Linked DNA regions of Cricetulus griseus. The protein of the gene in region 1 interacts with the protein of each later gene in a biochemical or structural test. Links are inferred from orthologs where the notes say so. Each region holds a gene or a part of one and is shown in the gene's direction. Other genes may lie near its edges.

Region 1 (7,620 bases):
CTAAGGGAAGATAGAATTCAACTTTGGAAACCTCCATATACTGATGAAAATAAAGAAGTTGGTTTGGCCTTAAAGGTATTTTTCTTTTAATATGTAATGTAAATCTTTTGCAATGTCATAACTCCCTTAGTAAATACTAGTCTGGAGTCCCCAGAAATTATCAGGCACAGCTGTGAAAATTTTTAGAAGCACTAAAACCTTTAGTAAAGAACAAATTTAATTTTTAATTTTTAAAAATTTAATTTAATTTTTTTCAGCACTAAAGGTAGAACCCAGGGCTTCACACATGCTAGGCAAGCTCTTTACCACCAAGCCACACCCCCAGTCCTATTATTGGCATTTCATTCTCTTTCTTTTGGTTTTCGAGACAGGGTTTCTCTGTGGCTTTGGAGGCTGTCCTGGAACTAGCTCTCTTGAACTCAGAGATCCGCCTGCCTCTGCCTCCCCAGTGCTGGGATTAAAGGCGTGAGCCACCAACGCCTGGCTGAGATCCTATCTCAAAGAATATATTTTTAAAAATATAGTAAATATCATTGATATTGGTATATTCTTCCCATCTTCTCCTAATGACTATTTAAAATGTATTATGAGTAGGAGTTTGTCACACACACACCACAAAACCAAGGGACTGGAGAGATGGCTCAGTGGTTAAGAACACTAGCTGGTCTTCCAAAAGCACTGAGTTCAATTCCCAGCAACCACATGATGGCTCACAACCATCTTTTCTGGCCTGCAGGGATACATGCAGGCAGAACACTGTATACATAATAAATAAATAAATCTTTAAAAAACAAAGCAGTGGGCGTGGTGGCTCATGCCTTTAATCCCAGCACTGGGAAGGCAGAGGCAGGTGGATCTCTGAGTACGAGGCCAGCCTGGTCTATAAGAGCTAGTTCCAGGACAGCCTCTAAAGCCACAAAGAAACCCTGTCTCGAAAAACCTAAATAAATAAATAAACAAATATTTTTTTAAAAAATAAGCAAAACGAAAAAACCTAACCAAATAAAAAAGGTTATTTAATCTGTCTTGATCTCATACAGTTTGAAAAATTAGAATTTTTTGCTTTAAATTTTTTCCCATCCAATGACAATGAATAGTTCACTGTTTTAAAAAGATTTTTATATTTATTTCATGTGTGAGTATTTTTAGTGCATGTATGCACCACATGTGTGATTGGTGCCCTTGGAAGTCAGAAAGAGGGAAGACATTGGATCCCCTGGCACTGGAGTTACAGATGGTGGTGAGCTACCCTATGGGTGTGAGGAGCTGAACCCAGGTCTCCTGCAAGCTACAAATGCTCTGAATCCCTGAGCCGTCTCTCCAGCCTCCACAACTTAAAAAAGTAGTTGTGTGTGTGTTTGTGCATGTACACACAAGTTAGAAGTCAATTTGGAACTTGATTCTCTCCCATCATGTAGGGCCCAGAAACTGAACTCAAGGCAACAGGCGTGGCTGCAGGTGCCTTTACTTGTTGAGCCATCTCAGTGGCCCTGGTTCACTGCTCCTTAAAGTACTTTCTAATATATTAAGGCCATAAGGGTCTCAGCCCTCCTTTCTGTCCCCCGGAATAATCCCAGTTACTCTCATTTTGCTACGGAAATGTTTACTATTTGTAAGTGCTTTAATTTCTCCCTGAATCCTCCCTGGGAGCTGAGATTGAATTTCAGTATGAGGGGGCCTCCGCTTGTCAGTTACGTTGCTTTGGGGAGTTTTTTCTTTCCGTATTTTTGCACTGGAGCTCTGGGGAGCTGCAGCCTGGTCTCTCCTCCCAGGACCTTGTTAAGAAGTACTCTGACCGCCTCGAGTGCTGTGAAGATGAAGTGGAGAACGCAATAGAAGAGATCCGCTGCAAAGCAGTTGAGCGCGGCACAGGGAATGAGCACTACCGAGCAACCGGGATTGCCACAATCGAGGTGTTCCTGCCTCCCAGACTCAGGAGGGTGAGTAACGCCCGCTGCACATGTCCTGCTGTAATTGAGTTGTTGGTTTGTTCGGTTTGGCTTTTTGAGACAGGGTCTCTCTGTGTGGTCCTGCTGTCCTGGAACTTCATATACAGACCCGATGACTTTGAATTCCCAGGGCCTACTCTGTCTGTGCTTCCCACGTGCTAGGGCTAGAGCATGTGCCACAGTGCCCAGTGAGCGCTTGTTTCTGTAAATCTGCCAGAGAGTGCTTAAGGAACTGCAGGTGTTGAATGGTGATGATACATTTAAGGTAGCTTGTTCTTTAAAACATCAGTCACAGAAGTGGGGGGCATGGTAGTGCCGTTGTAATCTCACCAGGGAGACTGAGGCAGGGTTATCCTCAGCTACACAGTGAGCTCAAGGCCAGTCCATGGGCCAGTGAGATGGCTTAGCAGGTAAAGGCTTTTGTCATCAAGCCTAATGACTGGGATGTGTTCCTCAGAACCCAAACGGTAGAAGGAGAACTGACTCCTACAAGTTGTCTTATGATCACAAGTGCTCCATGGTGTGATAGTGCTAAATTAATAAATGTAACTTCAAAAAATTAAAAAAAAAACCATGTACAGAGCTGTGTGTTTGTACCTTTTCTAGTTTAATGATTACAGATACTGAGAAGTAGGGCTGGAGAGATGGCTCAGAGGTTAAGAACACTGGCTGTTCTTCCAGAGGACCTAGGTTCAGTTCTCAGCCCTCACAGTACAGCTCACAGCCATCTTTAACTCCAGTCCCGGGGTGGTCCAATGCCCTCTTCTAGCTTCCTTGGGCATCACACACACATGATACACAGACATACATGGAGGGAAACACCTGTACAAGTAAAATAAACGTGACGGGAAATAAATTTTAAGAAGTCAAAGTAGACAGCAGGTTTTAGAGTCCTATGTTGCAGGACACTCCCTGAAGAAGTCCTATTCTGATGGATGGACCGTAGTCAGCTAAGTGCTGAACAGGACTAGCCCCTTGTCACAGGGCCTCATCCTCAGGTAGTACGTGTCAGCATGTTTTCCTGGCAAGCACTTTACAGCCTTCTCAGAACCAAACAATGTTGACCATTTTCAAAATTTGTATGTGGGCAGGTGAGATGGTTCAGCAGTTAAAATGCTTGCCAGAAAGCCTGTTGATGTCATTGGGATTCCCCGGCATCCACATTAAAGGCAGGAGAGAACTGCGACCACAGCCCTGTCCTCTGATCTTCACAGGCGTGCCATGGCACACCCACATGTCCTCTCTGCCCCAACACGCGCGCGCACGCGCGCACACACACACACTTTTTTTCAAAGGCAGGAAAAAACAACGCATGTTACAAAACAGTAAAAGTGCCTGCCATGCAAGCATGAGGACTTAAGTTCAGATCCCTAGAATCCATGTAAAAAGCCAGGTGTGTAAGGGTTCCTGTAACTCAACCCCTGAGTGTTATAGGCTTACAGGGATGTGGATGGATCCCTGAAGCTCACTGGCCAGTGAATCAATGAGAGACTCTATTTGGGAGGGGAAAAAAAAAAAGAACTCTGAGTTCAAGGCTAGTCTGGTCTACAATTTAAGTTCCGGAGAGTCAGGGCTACACAGAGAAACCATATCTCAAAGAAACCAAAAAAAAAAAAAAAAAAAAAAAAAGAAAGAAAGAAAGAAAGAAAGAAAAGAAAAGGGAAGGGAAGGGTAGATAGTAATCAGGGCACCTGTCACCAGTCTCTGGATCTCACACACATCACACATGTGCACTCCCAATAACACATGAAACGCAAGAATAAACTGACTGGTGAGCATTCACAGTAGCACCACTCATGATGGCTGAGAGGGAGAAGCCTAACTGCCATCAGTGGATGTGTGGATAAACAGATACACCCACGCCACAGAAGACAGCTGGTGGCACAGATACACAACACAACACTAATAGTCTGCAATATGAGCCACCTCAGAAACGTGCAGAAAAGGCCTGACGCTCTGTGGTCTCCTTCAGTGAAGAGTCCAAAATAGACAACTTTGTAGACAACTTTTCTATTTTGTCCAAAATAGAAAAGAAATGGTTGCAAGGCTGGGAAGAAGAGGGATGGGGTGTAGGGCATGGTACCTGGTGATAGGTGGTGAGTGGGGAATGTTCAGAAATTCTATTAAACATTTCATTGTCTTAGGATTTTTTTAAAAGATTTTATTTATTTATTATGTATACAATATTCTTCTTCCATGTATATCTGCACACCAGAAGAGGGCACCAGATCTCATAACGGATGGTTGTGAGCCACCATGTGGTTGCTGGGAATTGAACTCAGGACCTCTGGAAGAGCAGTCAGTGCTCTTAACTTCTCTCCAGCCCTGTCTTAAGATTTTATTTGTATTTTTAATTATATATAAGTATGTGTCTCTGGGTTTGTGCATGTAAACAAAAGTGCCCCCAGAGGCCAAGAGTAAATTAAATTAGATCCTCAGGGTGGATTATAGTCAGGTGTGAGCTGCTCGAGTGGATGTTGGGAAGTGAGCTCAGGTCCTCTAAAAGAAGTATATGCTCTTACCACTGAGCCATCCCTCCAGTGTCATGCACTTTGATGATGATGGCTGGCCATGTGACAAGTCCCACTGAGCACTCAAGGGGTACTCAGGTCACTCTGTCAGTCTGTGCTGGACTGTGTTTATGCTTCTCTGTACAGGCAGTGGTTTGTCCTTAAGTAGAACCCGAGTTTACATCCTGTCACAGTACCCTACAACCTTACATGCAGGGTAGCAGTCCAAAGAAGTGTCACACTCAAGTACATTTAGTTTTGTCTTTTTTCAACAGGACAAGAAAAGTTTATTGGAGACCCGCTTACATGTCACTGGTAGAGACCTGAGGTCTAAGTGAGTATCTGAGCTATGTTTCCCAACAGGTTTGCCCCTCTTACCCTGGTTCATTGAATGCTCTCAAGCTGTCCTGTAAGCGAGGGAGCCAGCCTGTTTTCCTCTTACAGCTGAAGAAATGAAACCTGGAGGGTGGGACAAGAAAGAGGTCATTCTGGGTTCACACACTGCTAGGTAAGAGGCAACACGGCTGCCTGAGTGAGACCTGCTCATGGCTGCCTGAGTGAGACCTGCTCATGGCTGCCTGAGTGAGACCTGCTCATGGGAGCTTCTTGGATGCAGTGCAGCTTTTAGAGGGGTTCAGCTTGGGGCCCACAGAGGAGGTGCCCAACTTGTACCTGAGTGAGTAACTGAGGAATAGAAGCAGGAGCCATCTTTTCACTGAACAGAGCATGTTTTATAATTCCATTCTTTTTTAGCACTAATTGTTTGCTGTGACCTTCATTCAGCAAAGGCCAGTCAACCCAAGTGTTCTGTTGGAGAATGAGGAAGCATCACTCATTCAATGCCCACAAGTAGGCAGTGGTATGGGACAGTTGCAGGGTTCTCAGAGGATGCTGGGAGAGTGTGACTCAGATGGACATCCTCAGCTCAGATACAAGTTTAGAAAGAGCTTGGCTCACTCAGCTCCCAGCAGCTGCCACTGCACCAGCTTTATTGTAGTCGTGTTTACAGGTCAATAGGTGAATAGCCTGGGTGTTTCTAAGTAAAAACCTATTAAGTGGCCATCATGATCCAAGTCTTCATAGTAGGTAACAAATAACAGATTTGCTTCCTGCAGCTTATACTGTGTTTATTTTATAGAATAGCCGAAACTTTTGGATTTCAAGAAAATTACATCAAGATCGTAATAAATAAGAAACAACTTCAACTAGGTATGTCATAGCAAAGAATGCATCTGATGTATAAGTAGTGACTTTCCATTTTTTTGTATTTTTTTCTTGCTTTTCCTCTATTGAAAACTTCCTGGCCATGTTGCATTTATTATCCAAAGTCAATTAATGTTAAAAGTTTACCATAATGAAGATGTAAAGCAGAAAAGGACATTACAATAAATATTCACAGGCCTGCTCTGGGTAGTGGGGAAGAAAGACATTGATTTCAGCCACAAGAATATTCCAGAATGGAAGTCTGTGCTGAGAGGAGGATCTGGGTTACTCAGTTCTCTCTATGACCCTGAGAGAGACGGGTGGACAGGCCAGGTTGGAACACTCTGCGGACAGCCAAGGAAACTGAGTGTAGGGTAGAGGCCTTTCTGAATGTAGAGAGCAAATGGGCCATGGGAGTCTTCCGGCAGTGAGTCTCTGCCGGGGAAGACAGTTTCACCTTCCAAGGGACAGCTGACTTTGTGAGGAGACGATTTTGATTATAATTAGTTGGGGGTGGGGGCTGCACGCCTATCAGTGGCTGCCAAATGCAAGACAGTCCCCATCACCTCACAAAAGCCCCACGTCACAGGTATCTGCCCCAGATGGTGAGTGCTGCTGAGAAGCCTGCGACAATGAGCTTTGTTCAGTATGGAGTTTGTCCTCAGAGAGATGGGGGTCACTGATACTGCAGAGTGCACACAGGGACATTGTGGCTTACAGACCACTGGCTGCAATCTGCAGGAGGCATGAGTGGAAGCCGAGATACATTATCTCTTTAGCAGCTCAGGTGGTTCATGAGGGCTCATGGATCTCCAGGGGAAGTCCCTAGAACCCTAAGTTTCATCTTTCTTTCTTTCTTTCTTTCTTTCTTTCTTTCTTTCTTTCTTTCTTTCTTTCTTTCTTTCTCTCTCCCTTCCTTCCTTCCTTCCTTCCTTCCTTCCTTCCTTCCTTCCTTCCTTCTTCCTTTCTTCCCTTCTTTCTTTCTTCCTTTTTCTTTCACTTTTCAAGACAGGATTTCCCTGTGTAGCCCTGAACTCAGAAATCCACCCACCTCTGCCTCCTGAGTGCTGGGGTAATCGCCTATGCCACCACCGCCCGCCTGATGGCCCAGTTTCTATTGTAGCACCATGTGGCAGCTCACAATCAATAGCTCAGTTCCACAACATCCAATGGCACGTTGGTATCCCTGCACTCATGCAGGCAAAATACTCATTTACACCAAGTAAAATAAGTCTAAAAAATTGAAAAGAATAATGTGAAGAAGCTGTTAAGGAAGACACTGGATGACCTGTGACCTTCACACCCATCCCCCACAAAAATCTAGTCAGGTGGGCTGGGTGGCCCACACCTTTAATCCCAGCACTCTGGAGGTAGAGGCGGGCAGATCTCTGATTTCAAGGCCAGCCTGGTCTGCAGAGTGACTGCCAGGGCAGCCAGCACTACACAAACCCTGTCTTGAAAAAAAAAAAAACCAACAAAATCTAGTCAGGTGACTTTTCCTCTTGCCACCTCCTTTGTCCAGGTGGATCTTGCTTTTTGTATTTGAATGGTAGAATGGTTGTCATTTCTGAAAAAGAAACACAAGAAGAGGAACACTGCGCAAGTGTGCAAAGGAGGAAGTGCAGGAAGGCTGGAGCCCTCATAAACCACCAGCTGTTTGTAGGGGACTCTGGAAGGAAACCCAAGCTGATTCTCAGCTTTCAGGGATAAAGGAAGCTGTCGGTGTCCATCTTTGCGGACTTACCTTCTCTTTTGCTATGTTTATTTTTTAAGCTTTTTAAAGGATTACTTATTTATGTATATGAGTGCTCTGTCCTCCTGTAGGGCTGCTGGACAGACAAGGGCATCAGGTCCCATTACTGATGGTTCTGAGCCTTGTGGGTTCTGGGAATTGAATTCAGGACCTCTGGAAGAGCAACCAGTGCTTTTAACCACTGAGCCACCTCTCTGCCCTCAAC
Region 2 (8,056 bases), on another chromosome or scaffold:
TTAAATGGGCAATGTAATAAGAATTATTTCCAAGACTAGGGCTGGGGATGTAGTGGTAGAGTTTTTGCCTATTTATAAGAATACATAAAAGTGGAGAAAATTAGCAGAGAAGCTAAAAAAATAACAACAAAATTCCTGAAGAGAATCCACCTAATTCTTTGTGTAGCTTTTTCTTTTTCTGTTTTTTCAGGGAAGGGATAAGACTTATATATCATGCATGTTAATTAAGAGCTCTATCATTGAGTTGCACACAGCCTCTGTGTATCTTCTAGCTTGTACCCTTATGTTTAGGGATCAAAGAGAATCAGCAACATGTGCCAAGGCAGTGGATATTTTTACTTTTCTATATTTTTATGTTTATATTTATTATACAGATATGTGGTTCAAAATGCTGTATTATCTAATTATTCTGTAATAATTTCACCTAGAATATTTTAAATCATAATATTACCTATAATAAAGTTAAGTGTACATTATATCTCTTAAGGAATAAACTGCTTCAAAACAATGTTTGGTTAATCACAATAGCTTAAATTTGAATAGGATAAGATGAAGAAATGCCAGTGTGACTTGTAGACTCTTATTTCCTCTTTAATATCTTCAAGTAACTCATAGCATTTAGATTCAGCTTCATTTCTGTTAGGTGAACACACTCTGAATTTCAGAATATGTCTCCTTTTTCTCTGTTGTTGGTATTATAGCTTTTCTTGGTTTGAGATCTATGAATATTTCTTCATGCTGTCTTCTTGAACTTGTGTTCTTTTCCTTGAAATCAGATGATGATAAGAAAGTGGTGGAGCAGGATGGGGACAGGAAGAAAAAGAGAAAGGATCAGAGTCCAGACTTATTGTTTATATTACTTGAAAAGGCACTCTTTCTCAGAACCTAAGTCCTCTCTGGTGGGAAATCCCCCAGATAGCTTCTCCTTCACAGTCTGGAAACCCCCATCGGCAGTGGGTGTTTTCTCTGTTCTTTCCTTCCTTTGGAGGCAACAATAATATGACTAGAAGCCAAGGACTAGCGTAGCAAAGATGTGCACTAGAATCTTGCTGACTAGCTAGTACTTAAATGGGTTTTAAGTACTTTAGTGGGTTGGTCTTGTTTATCCCTAAAGATACCAATTCTTCACCACAACATGAAAACATCAAATTAGGTCATGCTTAATAATCTTATGCAGTTTCTGAAATATAAATTCTCATTAAATATTACTTTTTGTTATTAGTTTATTAATTTATTCACACACTGTATATTTATTAAGCATCTTTCTATGCCAGATAACAAGCTGAGCATGCAAGTGTTCTAAAACACAATCATGGTCTTCAAGGACTCACTGGGGATGATAGACAAGCAGATAGGTGATCCCATTGCTACAGAAAAAGGCTTCAAAAGAATTTAGGAGGAAGTATGGGAGAATAACCCAGAACCAGAGGGAAAGAGTAGGGGCTCTTGGAGGCAATGCTGCCTGTGTTGTGCTCTTACACACTCATGGTGTTGTGAGTAATGTTGGAGGGAAAGGTATGCTTACTGACTGGGGAAGGCAGAGCTCCATGTGTTTAAGAAAATAAAGGAAATGTGTTGATGAAGATGGACCTGCAGATCTGCAGTATCAGACAACAAAAATCATTCCTAATAAAAATCATTGCTAAGAATGATAAACTCGCACTGTACTCTCCTGGCAGCTCTTGGTCAAGGCAGCTCTTGCTACCTGTGACTATGCAAATGCTGGCACCCAGACAGTCACTGACAAGGAAGGACATAAAGTTAAAAGAGTATGTAGCTATAAGCAACATTTTACCATCTACTCTCCCTCTTGCCTGCCTAGAGAAACATGAATATTTAAACGCTTGGGCAGGAACAAAAACGTTCTAAAGAGATATTTATGTTCCTCTCTTTAGCTGTCAAACTGTTGAGGCAATAGGCCTCCCTAACACCCAAATTGGAATTTCCTCAGGAATCTCATGCTGGGAGAAGGAAAAGACTGAAACCTGATGCCAGTCAGATGGCAGAGTAGAGAGCTGGTCTCCTGGAAGGAGATTTCACATAGTTCTGGTAACTTGTCAGGCTACCATGTAGGACAGATGAGAGCCTAAATAATGATTATGGCAAGGACCACACCTTGGTTAAGACAACTTGTTATGAATTCGCCTAGATTCTTCAACACCTACACCTCATGTCAGGGAGTTGAAGATGGACTTGGAGGGTCATTGGACCTCTTTGTCCCTTATTCAAAGTGGTCACACTTAGAAGATAATATGACCACTCTGAATAAATCTCCATTCTCTGCTTTTCACTATTACTGTTTATTTAATTGGCATATGGAGGATGAATGGCCAAGCCTAGGTTGTGAGGGCTTCAGAGCCCAAGTCTTGGCCCAAACAATTCTGAATAAATATACAAGAAGGTAGTGACTTCGGAAAGGAATTAAAAGGTGAAGGAGCTCTTTGCAGACCAAGCTTGGCAGCTTGGCCTTTCTCTTCTGTCAGGCCTTCTCACTATCCCCCTACAAGGCTATTTCCCATTCACCTTCAATCTGAGATGAATTTTTCTGCTGGAGACTGATGATGTTTCTGAATTCCAAGATCCTGTTGAACAGTTGTGGTCAGAAACTGGGATTTTAATCCTTGAGGACAATTGGGAGTTTGAGAGAGATCTGAGAGAAGAGTAGAACCAGCGGCACTCAGTATATTCTACAAGGCATTCTTCCCTTCATGTGAATCCTGTGTTTAAAAAAGTATATTACTCCACCAAATACATCAATAATAGAAGAGCTTCAATATACTTTTCATTAGAATTTCAAAATATTTGAGTAAGCTTTTAGATTGTCTTACTATACCCAGGTACTCTGTAAATCCAAGTTCTTCAGAATGGGACCTTCTAGAATAAAATGAAATTGTTTAAGATCTTCCAGTAGGAGAAGGAGGGATGGTGCCACCCCTAACTAAGAAACTGTTTGTAATTGATACTGCATTGCAAAGGGAAAAATCAGTTTTCTCCAACGGAGTCTCTCATTGGGTAAATTAACCATACTTTACAGTAGGCCTCATATTCAGGAGTAGTTGACATACAGACTAACTCATTGGTATTTTTGTGGGCTTTTTGTTTCATTTTGCTTTATTTTGGCATTTTCTGTCTCATTGGTCTTTTGCTTATTTGTTTTGATTTTCATTTTTGTGGGTTTTTTTTTTTTTTTTTTTTTTGTGTGTGTGTGTGTGTGTGTGTGTGTGTGTGTGTTTGAGAGACACACAGATAGAGAAAGACCATAAAGTTGGATGGGTAGGGAGGTGAGGAGGATGGGGGAGGAACTGAGGAGGGTGAGAGAAATTTCAGTAGGTGAAGGTATTTGTACATAGCCACTGCAAATACTGAAAACAAAGATAATAACTTGGAATTTTACAGGATTCTTTGAAAATATCTAAAGTACTTTTAATAAACAATTTTGAAAATTAGTTCCATGGAATGTCCTGAGAAGCCAGTGACAAGCTTGGAATATTAGGAATATTATTGGTATTAGAGTAATTGGGTAAGTTTCCTGAGGACACACAGCTCACTCACATTCTTGGTCTTATCTAAGCAAATCTCATGAGTGAGGGAACTAGTAGCACCTTCATGTGCCTTTGAGCTCAAGGAGGAGGAAGGTATCCAAGAATCACAGTGGGGAAATCCAGGAACTGTGGTATACATATGGAGAAAGGTGGGAGTCAGGATTTAACTGTTGGCTTTGGATTGTTCTCAAGTAATATGTTTGATTTACAGGTCCTGAGTCAGGGTTGGAAATGTATTAGAGGTTCAAAACCCGAGAATCCAAAGTGTGTGTGTGTGTGTGTGTGTGTGTGTGTGTGTGTGTGTGTGTTTATAAACATTTTATAAGCAAGGTTTTCTGAGCTGGGGAGACATTAAGAATGGCCTACAATTATCTAATTTTATAGACCTGTGTTAAAAGAGGGGAGCATATTTCCATAACATAACTCTGAAGTCCAGGGTCATTTTCTCTTGTGTCTTATACGAATGTCTTATACATTCTTCCCAGTTATTGGGAAAAGGTTCCTGATAGTCTGGTCGGTCAGCACCAATACTACCTGTCCTCTCTGGGTATCCTTGCTTCTAGAGAGGTCTGGAGCTCTTAAAAGCAGTTGGAGAGGGCTACCAAGTATCATGAATTATCAAGCCAGTGAAAGTCAAGGCCAATGGCTGGGCAGTAATAAGGTGGGTTTGGAAGCCCTTATCATAGGAGGGCTATACTATGTTCAGAACTAGGAGTACAGATGGAGTAGACTAAGGGAAGAAGTTTGTACAAAGAGTGTCCATTACTAACTCCACCCCAAAGAAAGCAAAAGGAAATTCTTGAGGACAAAGGTTGTTTCTAAACTGGACAACACAACGGTCTTGGGGATTTCCAACCCAGATACTCACATATAAGCAGACTCCGGGACTCTCTTCTCACTCAGCCTTTCATTACAGACATGGCCTCCTGCATCTGTGTAAGTTGGGGTCTGAAGGGAAAGTATTTCCATGCATTTGGGAATGCAGTTCCACAATTCAGGGGGGTACAGTGCCTGGATGGGGAGGTGGTTGGGTGGGCACAGTTTAAGAGGCAAGGCAGACATTGATAACTGCACAACAGAAAGGAGGTACTCTGGAGAGAGGTTGGTCACTTGGCTTATTGTATTTGTTGTGTATGTACACACACATGCAGGGGCAGGGTCAGAAGACAATCTGCTGGGGTCAGTTCTGTCCCTCCACCACCTAGGTCATAGGGATCAGCTCAGGTGGTGAGGCTTGGTGGCAAGAACATTTTATCAGATAAGCCATTTTGCCAGATAAACTGGGGAGAAATGGCAGGGCACTGTGCTTCAACCAGGATGGGCAAGCTGTGAAATTAGAGAAATAATTTTCAGAGTTCTCATCCTTAAGCTTTTCTCTTTTCAAAGGAAAATTCCCCTAATCTCATTTAAGTTATCAGTGATCTAACATGTTACCTTAAGTGAGACTATGTCCTCATGAAGAGAACCTGCAATCAGGGCAGTGCCCAACACAGGATGACACCTCCACTGAAGGAACAGCTGAAATATCTAGGTTGGGAAGATGTTTTTTTTTAATGGAGTATGAGAAGGTTTCCATAGGGTTTGCAGGCCTGATTCTCCCCCCATCTTCCAGAATTCTGCAGCGAATGAAATTAAACTTAGATATAGTTCCTATCTTCAGGATTAGGATCCTGGTTTAATTAAATGAGGATATTATGCTTTATAACAATAGTTACAAAAAATACAAAAAATATATAAACAATATTAAGCACAGCATCACCACAACCTGGGCATTAACAGAAATTGATGGGAACGTTAATAAGAAAGCAACGGTGTGGAGATTATGACTTAATCAGGGTTCATTCTGAATTAGACATAGAGGGTGAATGAAGCACGGCTGAGAGTATCCTCTGAAGCTGCCACATCTGGGAAATCTGCTTCGGAGTTGTTTAAGAATCTGTATACATCTTTTGAAGCCCTGTATTGTCTTTACTTTTGATATCTGGCTTAGGAGAGGCAAATTAATAAGGTAGGAAATTGGTGATTACATTGGATATATATGTATATATACATATCTCAAGAGGAATGAGACTAATGTTTTAATTTGTGTCATAATATGGCAATTAAACAAAAGTTTCAATAGAGGGAGAGATAAGATTGTTGGGTAGGAGCTGGAGGGCCAAGCAGATGGAACAATGAACGTGAGGGGTAGGGTGTAGAGGGTGGCAGGCATTCTAGGTGACTTCCTTGCCTTTGTTTTCTTAGATTGTCCATTCTGAGAAATGGCCATCAATGACCTTTGACGCTACTGAGAATGACAAAGTGAAGAAGATAAATGAACATATCAGATCCAAAACCAAGGTTTCTGTGCAGGACCAGGTCCTTCTGCTAGGCCCCAAGACCCTCAAGCCCCAGAGAACACTCTCATCTTATGGCATTAACAAGGAAACAACCATCCACCTCACGCTGAAGGTGGTGAAGCCCAGCGATGAAGAGCTGCACTTGTTTCTGGTGGAGTCAACCAATGAAGGGCAAAGGCACCTCCTCCCAGTTCGAAGATCCAGCTCAGTGGCCCAGGTGAAAGAGATGATTGAGGGTGTGACTGGTGTGACCCCCAAGACTCAGATTGTGACTTGCAATGGAAAGAGGTTGGAAGATGGAAAGACCATGGCTGACTACAACATCAGGAGGGGCAGTTTGCTCTTTCTGACAGGGCACTGCATTGGGGGTTGACTATGTGGATGGGGTGATAAGAGGATCAAAGCCCACCCCTTTTAGCTTTTACCAATCACATCCTTTGATGATTTCCAAAAATTAAGGACAATGAAATAAAAATTGGAGATGAGGGGGTGGATTAAAAACATTTGTCAAGTCCGTGATTCCTTGTTTCTGACATACTTCATTGAGTGGCAGGATTGCTGCTGAGAGCGGAAACTGAAATATTAGTCAGGTGTGGTAGTATACACTTTTAATTCCAGGACTGGGGAGTCAGGGACAGGTGGATTCTTGAATAATTGTTGAACCAAATTGAGTCTACTTACAGAGAAGTAATGTATTATGATTTTTTTGCCCCAATAGGATCACAGTCTAATAAATGATTTAGAAATTCATTTACTTATCATCCCCTCTTCTTATTTAAAGATATTTGATATGAAATAAAATCTAGTACCTTCTCCATCTGCTGTGTCTAACACCTAACAAAATGTTCATCTCTGGGTAAGGAAGGGAAGGGGTTAACTTCTGGGTTCTTCTGACTGATAGAACTTCCTTCACCATCAAATAGCTTTCTCCGTTTTCTTTCTATTTGCTCCTCTGTCTCACTCCTGGCCACATGCATGGCTGCTCTCTCATCTTCACCAATTCTAGTCCTTTCTCTTCTTTAAAACTAGTTCAAAAGCCATATCCTGCAGATGGGATTCCCAGCTTAACCAGGCCTGGCACAACTGCCTATACATGCAGATTTTCCTTGTAGTCTTATGCCCTGTGGTGGACACTGGTCACCTGGCTTGTTCTGTATTAGCTGGGCTGGCTCCCCAAGAAGAGAAACTGCATCCTGTTTCTGGAAGCTATTGCTGTAAGGTAGGGCACAAGGACTCTGCCTGATGGCTGAGACCATGGAATTATTCACGGTCTTTTGTAAACTTGGGGAAAACTAAAGGTCAGCACCAGGGTGCCCATCGTCTTATCTCCATGTGGATTCTTCAGGAGTGGTTACCAAGTCTCCTGAGGGTGACGATGTCCCCCTCCTTCATCATGCTTCCCTTCTGTCGAAAGTCTTAAGAGCCGTTTACCCCATCACTATAGTTGTGTGTTTAGATATTTCCGGGATTTCCCCTCAAGAATCCAAATCCTAGCCAGTGAGAGAAAGGGATCTCCCTCTTGCCAACCCTGAACTCCTCGAGGGCAAAATTGCAGATTTTCATGCAAAGACTAACAATATGGTCATCCTAGATCCCCGGACCCTGTGTTCTCCTTAGTCCTCTCACTGTCCGACCTGCCGCCTCCCCAGACTCCTCAAGAACCTCAGTGCCGCTCCCTTCACTTCCTTGTTCCGCAGTGTGTAGATGAGGGGATTGAGCGCGGGTGTGACCACCGTATAGAAGAGCGAGACGAACTTGCCGCGACCCTGGTTGTAACTATATGTGGGTTGCAGGTAAGTGTAGGTGGCAGAGCCATAGAATAGGCACACAGCGGTCAAGTGAGAGCCACAGGTGCTCGCCGCTTTTCGCCGCCCTGCGCGGGAGCGCATACCCCAGACCGCGCGCCCCACGGCGGTATAGGAGACCAGGATGACGGCAGAAGGCACCAACAGGATGACCACCCGCGCCGCGAACATCTGGCGCTCGGTGGCGCTGCGGCCGCCGCGGCAGGCTAGCTGTAGCAGCGCCGGCAGTTCGCAGATGAAGTGGTCCAGACGCCGGGCCGCACACAGCGGACGCGCCGCCAGCAAGGCGGTCTGCGCAGCTGAGTTAGCCAGGCCACCAAGCCAGGAGGCGCTGGCCAGTGCGCGGCACAAGCGGGGTGAGGCGAGTGAG

The links. The genes of interacting proteins can lie anywhere in the genome.
Region 2: the proteins of Nub1 (region 1) and Ubd form a complex in vitro, tested with the Homo sapiens proteins (6 studies listed by BioGRID, with this or other methods). The link is inferred for Cricetulus griseus from reciprocal best matches to the Homo sapiens genes NUB1 and UBD.

What each region holds. Positions count from the first base shown.
Region 1 is NC_048601.1:97,827,042-97,834,661, reverse strand, and holds part of Nub1 (NEDD8 ultimate buster 1), read left to right. Parts: coding exon 1-75; intron 76-1,772; coding exon 1,773-1,940; intron 1,941-4,734; coding exon 4,735-4,793; intron 4,794-5,597; coding exon 5,598-5,668; intron 5,669-7,620. UniProt on the Homo sapiens protein: Specific down-regulator of the NEDD8 conjugation system. Recruits NEDD8, UBD, and their conjugates to the proteasome for degradation. Isoform 1 promotes the degradation of NEDD8 more efficiently than isoform 2.
Region 2 is NW_023276806.1:228,538,566-228,546,621, reverse strand, and holds Ubd (ubiquitin D), read left to right. Parts: upstream 1-3,917; 5' UTR 3,918-4,460; coding exon 4,461-4,478; intron 4,479-5,786; coding exon 5,787-6,254; 3' UTR 6,255-6,631; downstream 6,632-8,056. UniProt on the Homo sapiens protein: Ubiquitin-like protein modifier which can be covalently attached to target proteins and subsequently leads to their degradation by the 26S proteasome, in a NUB1-dependent manner.